2 linked regions of the Ovis aries genome follow. The protein of the gene in region 2 interacts with the protein of the main gene of each other region in a biochemical or structural test. Links are inferred from orthologs where the notes say so. Each region holds a gene or a part of one and is shown on either strand. Other genes may lie near its edges.

What was found.
Region 1: the proteins of PTPN6 (region 2) and PECAM1 form a complex in vitro, tested with the Homo sapiens proteins (2 studies listed by BioGRID, with this or other methods). The link is inferred for Ovis aries from reciprocal best matches to the Homo sapiens genes PTPN6 and PECAM1.

Annotation. Positions count from the first base shown.
Region 1 is NC_056064.1:48,348,736-48,353,307, forward strand, and holds the start of PECAM1 (platelet endothelial cell adhesion molecule), read right to left. Parts: upstream 2,833-4,572; 5' UTR 2,804-2,832; coding exon of another isoform or gene 2,716-2,803; 5' UTR 2,682-2,715; exon of another isoform or gene 2,603-2,681; intron 1-2,602. Other genes in the region: MILR1 (allergin-1), read left to right, coding at 2,716-2,803. UniProt on the Homo sapiens protein: Cell adhesion molecule which is required for leukocyte transendothelial migration (TEM) under most inflammatory conditions.
Region 2 is NC_056056.1:209,350,516-209,354,322, reverse strand, and holds part of PTPN6 (tyrosine-protein phosphatase non-receptor type 6), read left to right. Parts: intron 1-137; coding exon 138-332; intron 333-2,768; coding exon 2,769-2,958; intron 2,959-3,107; coding exon 3,108-3,224; intron 3,225-3,309; coding exon 3,310-3,423; intron 3,424-3,572; coding exon 3,573-3,669; intron 3,670-3,807. UniProt on the Homo sapiens protein: Tyrosine phosphatase enzyme that plays important roles in controlling immune signaling pathways and fundamental physiological processes such as hematopoiesis.

The sequences.
Region 1 (4,572 bases), on a different chromosome or scaffold from region 2:
TACTACTGCTAAGTCGCTTCAGTCATGTCCGACTCTGTGCGACCCTACAGACGGCAGCCCACCAGGCTCCCCCATCCCTGGGATTCTCCAGGCAAGAATACCAGAGTGGGTTGCCATTTCCTTCTCCAATGCATGAAAGTGAAAAGTGAAAGTGAAGTCGCTCAGTCATGTCTGACTCCCAACGACCCCATGGACTGAAGCCCACCAGGCTCCTCCATCCATGGGGTTTTCCAGGCAAGAGTACTGGAGTGGGGTGCCATTGCCTTCTCCATAGAGGTTTCTTAAGGAGTAAATGAGATGATCAGTATAAAGCTCTTAGACAACAGAGAAGCCTAACTTTACTGTTTGTTTGACTATATTTATTTTTTTAATGAGTACAATCTTATCTATTTGGCTGTGTCAGGTCTTAGTTACAGCACTCAGCCTCTCTGACTGTGGCACTCGAGCTCAGAAGTTGCAACGCATCGGCTTAGTAGCCCCGTAGGATGTGGGATCTCAATTCCCAGATCAGAGATGGAAATCTCGTCCCCTGCATTGCAAGGCAGATTCTTAACCATTGGAACACCAGGGAAGTCCCTGGGTTATATTTATTTTTATCAAGTTTATTGATATGATGAATTTCGGTGGACCATGATAGTGCAGCTTCGTCATGATTTGGGCTCTATGCAACGTGTCAGGTCCATGGATGAACTTTTTTCTTTTTCCACTTGAGACTTTATATCTGATTTGTTATGTAATCTTTGATAAACTATGATCCTTTGAGGGGGGCCTCGATAAGGTACTCCCAGTAACGTTTACTAACAGCCCTAAGAAGAACTTCCTCCAGTTTCCTTTGCTGTCTTTGCTGCGGTCTGCAGGCTTCCTGCCCGAGCTGAAAGTTCCACATGCAGAAATGCCCCAGACATGTCAGCTTTTCTGAAAGAGCCCCCATCCTTCTGGGCATGACAGTTCTCAGGCCAGGATGGATAAGACACTGGTGGGAAACGTCAAAACCAAAACCTCTGATTCCCCTTAGCAGAAATTCTCGCATTGAGAGTTATGCCACCAGAGATTAAACTGGTGGGGTGCTTTTCCACACTCTCCTTTAGTGAGAGAAATTGCCACCAATATTGCCATATGAAGTCACTGAGTGCTGTCTTTGTTGGAAGGGTGGGTGCCTAAGAAGTAACTTTTACTGTTGGAAGGAAATAAAGTCCTTTTACAAACGGAGGACTAACTTTGCATTTTTCTTTTACAAACTGAGGACTAAGATGATTTGCTTCCAGACAGTGGCAGCAGATAGGGAGGAAGTGGGGGTGACGGCAGCCAAGCCCTGGGCTCTGTTCAGACCCCCAGTGGTGTGGGGCTAGGCACGACTGACCACAACAGGCTGGGAACCTGGGGAGCCCAAGCAAGGAGCCCCTGGAGCGAGTTAATACTGGTGATTGGGTGATGTTTCGGAAGAACCTGCACCCAGGCAGGGGTGTGTCTTCCCCATGGAGAGGGCACCTATCCACGAGAACGAAGAGACCGTCAGGGTCAACCCTTCAGGCAACAAAAGCCAGTAACCTGGGAATTCCCTGGCGGTCCAGTGGTTAGGACTCTGCACGTGCACTGCAGAGGATGCAGGTTCGTTCTCTGCTCAGGGAACTAAGATCCCACAAGTTGCGCAGCTTAGCCAAAAAAAAAAAAACAAAAAAACACACACACACAAATAAGAAAAGAAAAAAAGAACCAGTAACCCAAGGGGCCCAGGCCAATCACAGCCCCAACCACTCAGGAACCCCTCACCCCCTTCCCACTCTCCACTTCATGCTGATGACAACAGAACATGCATCCACTTGGCAGAGTCAGGAGAATTCTGGATTGGGTGCAAGTGAATCACAAGCCACTTCGGGGCTGTAATCTAGACACGCTGAGGCTGCTGGGGCCCTGGAGAAAATCCAGAGTCCCAGGTTTCATCCCCAGGAAGCCTGGAGCAGGGCCTAGAAGCCAGCGTTTAACACAGTCAGGCATTTCTGCTGCCACGTTTCTGTGTCTCTCTCTAGACAGTCAAGGTTGCTCCCCAAGACTAAAACAAACTTTCCACTAACTTCCTTCTGACCCAGGCTGAATCCAAAAGGAGATGATCACGTAGGTTTGCATAAAGACAGTGTTGTTGTTTAGTTGCTAAGTAATGTCCGATCCTTTTGTGACCCCCATGGACTATATAGCCTGCCAGGCTACTCTGTCCCTGGATTTTCCAGGCAAGAATACTGTAGTGGGTTGCCATTTCCTTCTCCAGGCGATCTTTCCCACCCAGAGATCAAACCCGGGTCTCCTGCATTGGCAGGTGGGTTCTTTACCGATGAGCCACCAGGGAAGCCCATAGTAGCAACATTTTTTCTTTTACTCACAGTCCACTTCCCTGCCAGCCTGAATTAGAAGTAACCTGCCATATCCCTCTCTGCCTACAAGTGCTCACAGAGGAGCACAGGGTCACACCAACCAGTCATCCCACATCAGGCTAGTCCACACAACTCCAATTTCTTTAAATTCGTCGAAAAAGAGGAAGTTCTCTCTGTGATTCGCTGGTGGGAGGCAGGGAGGCCATCAAGACTCCTTTGCCCTCCTCCCCGATTTCATTCAAGAGAATGTGGGGCTATTTAAACAAGCTGTTCTTTGGGGCATTTTTCTTTCTGTCACATCCGAGGCTCACTTACCATTTTGAAGCTTGAATCTCCAAACCAAAACGTCATGTGGAAAAATAGTTTTCTTGTGTTCCTTTTCTCTCTTTCAGTTCAAAAGGCTGCACTGGATTGTGAAAGACTGAGAAAACCAAATGGTAAGTTTCATTTACTTCTCTGTTGTATTAAAGCCACTTTCACCGAAACGGTGAGACCGTCAGCTTCAGTCATGCGCTGTCGCGAGCAGGGTTTTCTGTGCTTTTTGTTGAGCAGCCAAAGAGGAGAGTTTTTCCACTTTGTACTGTTTAAAATGAAGTGATATTAGGGAGGGAGTCAGAGAATCTTTCCTGAAACTAAGAAACAAAATGTTGAGATTGTTTTTTAAAAAAAAACAATGAAACGGTTCTTTCTTTTTCTGTTGTTTTTTAATTAGAAAATCAATACACTATCGTTGTAAAATAATTCAGGCGACACTAAAAACATATCCTGGGAGACAGTTTATCATCATAGAGCCAGGTTGTTGTGGTCCTAACCTTGTTTCTACCCTTTTCCACCTGGTAGTCTGGGCGCATGACGAAAACCACTTTAAGCTTAATTTCTATCCTCTGTGAAGCGGGGGAAATAAAGGCACCTCCCTGGGAGTGCTGTTGTGAAGACTGAGACAAGCCCTGTCCCTCAGCACAGAGCCGAGTGCATGGGGGAGCCATCAGTAAATGCCAGCCCAGGTCGTTGTTGTTATTATACTGTAAATGGTGAATGTTCTGCTATAAACAGATCCCCTCAGTCCCTCTCCCATCTCTGTGTCCAGGAGCAAACACTAGTAACAGTCCTTTTCGCTCCAATATCAAAGCAAACAAACTCTTCTGTGGCCTGTTCTTTTTAAAATTAACACGTCCCAGACATCTTTCTAAGAGGAAGTTGTAGGTTTCGCTCCCTTCTTCTCAACAGTTGCATGGCATTTCACAATAGGACTTAGTCATAATTCATCGAACCATCATTCCCGTATTGGTTGTTCCATTTTATTCCTTATAGAAACAATACTGCCGTAAACATCCTCTGTGGACACATGAGCGTGTGAGAGTTCACGTAGGATAAAATCCTAGAAGTGAAATGGCTGGGTCGAAGGCCATGTCCGTTTGAATTGTTACAGCTGATGCTAAGTTGCCCTCCTAACACACTGAACTGGTGCATGTTCACCAACGCTGATCACGGACATGGGTTGAGTGTGAGTTTCTCACCCTCTCTCTGGCAGTGGATACAATCAATTTTTTAAATTTGTGTCAGTCTCATGAGTACAGAAATAATATCTGAATGTTGTTTGAGTCCGCGGTTGCCTCATCACTCATAAAGCTGTGCTTCTTTCTCATGTTTGTTGACTATGGAAGCCCTAGCATGCCCATATAAAGGACATTTAGGGATGGCAATCTGGCTGGAAAGAGAGGTGAGGTCTTATCTTGAATCTGAGCTTACATAAGACTGAGAAAATATTAATTGTCCAGATCAAAGTGTAGATTGCTGGCGTTTTTGAGGGGTCTAAACCCCTCCTCCACCCAAGCCATCCCTGGAACACTGTTTCTTTTTTTTTTTTTAAACACTACTTCTTCTCCTGGGAATTACCTATTCATATTATTTGACCATTTTTTGATTGTCTTTTCCTTATTAATTTGCTATTGGTTTATGTATATTAGGGCTTCCCTGGTAGCTCAGATGGTAAAGAATCTGCCTGCAATGCAGGAGACCTGGGTTCCATCACTGGGTTGGGAAGATCCCCTGGATAAAGAAATGGCAACCCACTCCAGTATTCTTGCCTGGAGAATCCCATGGACAAGAGGAGCCTGGGCAGGCTACAGTCCATGGAGTCCCAAAGAGTCAGACATGGCTGACGACTAACACATTTATCTTACATATATTAAAAGAATCCTATGCT
Region 2 (3,807 bases):
CTTGGCTGCTCGTTTCGCTTCCCCAGGCCCCTGGGTGTATCCACCCCAACCCTGGCCAGGGCCCCCACCCACCCCCTACCCTCACCCGACCTCCACTCTCCCTTCCACTGGCCTTACCACCACCGGGTGCCCTGCAGGGTCGGGGACCAGGTGACTCATATTCGAATCCAGAACTCTGGGGACTTCTACGATCTGTATGGAGGGGAGAAGTTCGCGACGCTGACGGAGCTGGTGGAGTACTACACGCAGCAGCAGGGTGTTCTACAGGACCGAGACGGCACCATCATCCACCTCAAGTACCCGCTGAACTGCTCAGACCCCACCAGTGAGAGGTGAGGGTCTTCACTCCCTGGCCCGCCCCACCAAGAAGTGGGCTGTCCTTCCTACCTTGGGCCTCTTCCCTCCGTGTGATCTGAGGGCCCCCTTTCCATCAACCCCTAGGAAGCAAGAGAAGGTTGCCTGGCCCTTCTCCAGGGTCCCTGTCCACCCGTGCTCCAGGCCTTACCAGTGCCAGAGAGGCCTCTCCTCGTGGCTGTCTCTCCCAAATGGCTGGCTCTGTTGTTAGAAAGCTCTTCTTGCTGGGACAGAATCTGACCTCTTGTAACTGTTCTCTCCCCAGCACGGATTCCTATGGTTGAGGAGGAGCGTAGGGGTCAGCATGTATGAGGACACATAGGCTCATCTCAGTGTCCCCTGATAATGGGTCTGCCCTCTGGGGTCGGCTAGTGCTGGACTAGTCCCTTGACCAGACCCACATCAATACTCTAAGCATTTCCCGCCCATCTTTCTTGTTTCAAAGATATGGTCCCCAGAACTGGGCTGGCTACTCCCCAGGTGGTCTCCCCAAAGTATGGGCAGACCCAAAGACTCTGCCTTTTATGGACGGGTTGGGGGGTGTCTCATTTTCCAGCTGTGTCTCCATGATAGCTCCTATAATTAGGGGAAGGGCAGCTGAACAACTCTGGGTTGTTATGGGGGCTTTTTTTGGCACACTCCTAGGGCCAAGCCAACTTGTCCTTGTCGAAATGATTCTGAACCTGGATTCTTTCAGCTTTCAGTCTTTCTGAGATGCATGCCTCCCATCTTGCATCCGTATTTTGTTCAAGTCACTGGTTGAGACTGAGAACTGGATGAGGCTGGGGTACAGGCCCCAGACCCACCCCTGGAGACCCTTTTTCCCATGAACATGCATCCAGGGTCCATTTCTGGTGAAGCCGCCTCCCCCAGGAGGGAAGCACTTAGATGCCCTTGCTCGTGTCTGTCCTTCCCTGGTGTTCACTGCCTCTCACCCTCTTCCTGCACCCCCCTGCCACATTCATGGGGATTTTCTGCCCAGATCCTTTTGGGCTCTTCATGACCTGGCCTCCTCCTTGTCCACAGCCAGGGTCCGGCCTACTGATTGCTGCCAAAGGATTGCTGCAGGGGTGGTTGAGGATGGAGCTGCAAGAGGGATGGAGCTGAGAGGACCCCCTGGGGCCTGGGGTCAGGGTTCAAATTGTGGCTGGAAGAGGTCAGGGTCAGAGGGACTCAAGACCAGGGCAGCTGACTTCAAGAGAGGCTTTTGGTTCCCCACACCAGGAGGTCTGGATTCACCCTTGACCCTGGGAGCCTGTGGGGAAGGCTCTTTCTCCCAGCCTCTGCTCTGGTTTGCTCTGGTTCTTGGCCTTGGCAGCTCCCCCTCCTCCTCTGGGGAGAATTTGCATTTGTCCCCTCAATGGCTAGCTCTTTGCCTGTGGTCAGCCTGACATTTGCATGGAGACTTCCTCATCCTGTGGGGCCTGGGGGAAGAGGGTTAGCCCCCTCCCCACTGCTTGGGGGCCCTGGCCTATCCCTGAGTGGTGGGATATGGTGGCCCAGGGGTCCTGCACTGGGCTGGGGACTCTGGAAGTCTCCGAGCTGTAGTCTCCTCCGGGCTGCAGTACGATGGGGTGGGACAGACTGGCCCCCTCCCTCCTTCCCCCCATTCCTGCGGTTGGAAAATGCCCCCCTTCTCCTGTCCCTGGGCTGAGGAAACCTCACAACCTCACTTCTCACTCTCTCCCCAGAAGGAGTTTTGTGTTTTTTCCATCACGTGGTTTCCTGTGGGGCTGGGCATTGCGGGGCTACAGTTTCCTCCTGGGAAGGGGGTGTGTTTTGGGGAAAGGTCCTAGTTCTGCTTTCTGCCCCTCTGAGCCCCTTGAGCCTCCCCCCCAACACCCAACCCCAGCAGCCCCTTCAGTGACATCACCTGGGGCACCCCAAAGCCCCCAAACCACTATTCACCCTGCGGGCTTGTCCACCTTCCCGACCCCAACCCCCAGGGGGACTTCTCCCCTCGCTTGTGACTTCCGTCTCTCCCAACCCCATTGCTGTCTGTGGTTTGGCCTCCATCTGCATTTCTGCTTCCCTTGCCTAGCCCTGTCTTTCATGGAGACCCTTCCTGGGTTTCTCCCCTCTGAACATTCTGGATGTGGCTGCCTTTCTGCCTGTGTCTTAAACTTGCGGAGGTGGGCTTGCTTAGAAGTCCTGAGGCTTGCCACTTATTAGCCAGGGCTTGGGCCAGTGTTCCACCACCCAGCCTCAGTCTCCTCATCTGCAGAATGGGTAGTACCTACCTCTCAGGTTTCTGTGAGGGTGACGGACCTACTCATAGTGGCGGATTTGAGAGCGTGTAGCACAGCTCAGTTCAGCACATGGCAGGGGCCCAAGTTCCCTGCCCCCTCCCTGAGCATCTGCCCAGCGCCCGCCCCCGGCCTCAGTCTCACCTCCCCGGATGCCGTCTTCCCTAGGTGGTACCATGGCCACATGTCTGGAGGGCAGGCAGAGACTTTGCTGCAGGCCAAGGGGGAGCCTTGGACATTCCTTGTGCGTGAGAGCCTCAGCCAGCCTGGAGATTTTGTGCTGTCCGTGCTCAGCGACCAGCCCAAGGCTGGCCCTGGCTCCCCGCTCAGAGTCACCCATATCAAAGTCATGTGTGAGGTAAGGCCTCTGGGCACAAGGGAGGCACCCCGCTGGGGGTCCCCTCTGTGCCCACAGCCTTGCCCGTGGGGAGGGGCAGCCTGGGCTTTGGTCTGAGGCTGGGGGATCCAGGCAGGGAGACTGAGGTGGCCTGACTTGGTGCCCCTCAGGGTGGACGCTACACAGTGGGGGGTTCGGAGACCTTCGACAGCCTCACTGACCTGGTGGAGCATTTCAAGAGGACGGGGATCGAGGAGGCCTCCGGCGCTTTCGTCTACCTGCGGCAGGTGAGGGGTGGGCCTGGCTGCCTCCTCCCATTCCCTGAGCCTCTGAGCTCTAGAAGCGGCTGACTTCTGGCCTCCCCCACCCCAGCCATACTACGCCACGAGGGTGAACGCGGCTGACATTGAGAACCGGGTCTTGGAACTGAACAAGAAGCAGGAGTCAGAAGAGACAGCCAAGGCCGGCTTCTGGGAGGAGTTTGAGGTTTGTGATGGGACCAGCAGGGTGAAGGGCTTGGGGTCCCAGACAGACCCTGCCCCCTCACTCCCCATCCTCATCTGCCCTATGACCTCTCCACCCACGGATGCCCTGCTCCCGGGCCTGAGGCTCCATTTCCCCGACTCCTCCCACAGAGTCTGCAGAAGCAGGAGGTGAAAAACTTGCACCAGCGGCTGGAAGGGCAGCGGCCAGAAAACAAGAGCAAGAACCGTTACAAGAACATCCTTCCGTGTGAGCACCCTGGGCAGCCTCCAGCCCGCCCCCAGCTCAGGCAGCGCCCACCGCCCAGGAGGCTCCTCTCCCCTAGCTGACCTCCCCCCATCGCAGACGGTCCCCTTCCCCAGCTTCTGTGAGGGACCCCACCCACAA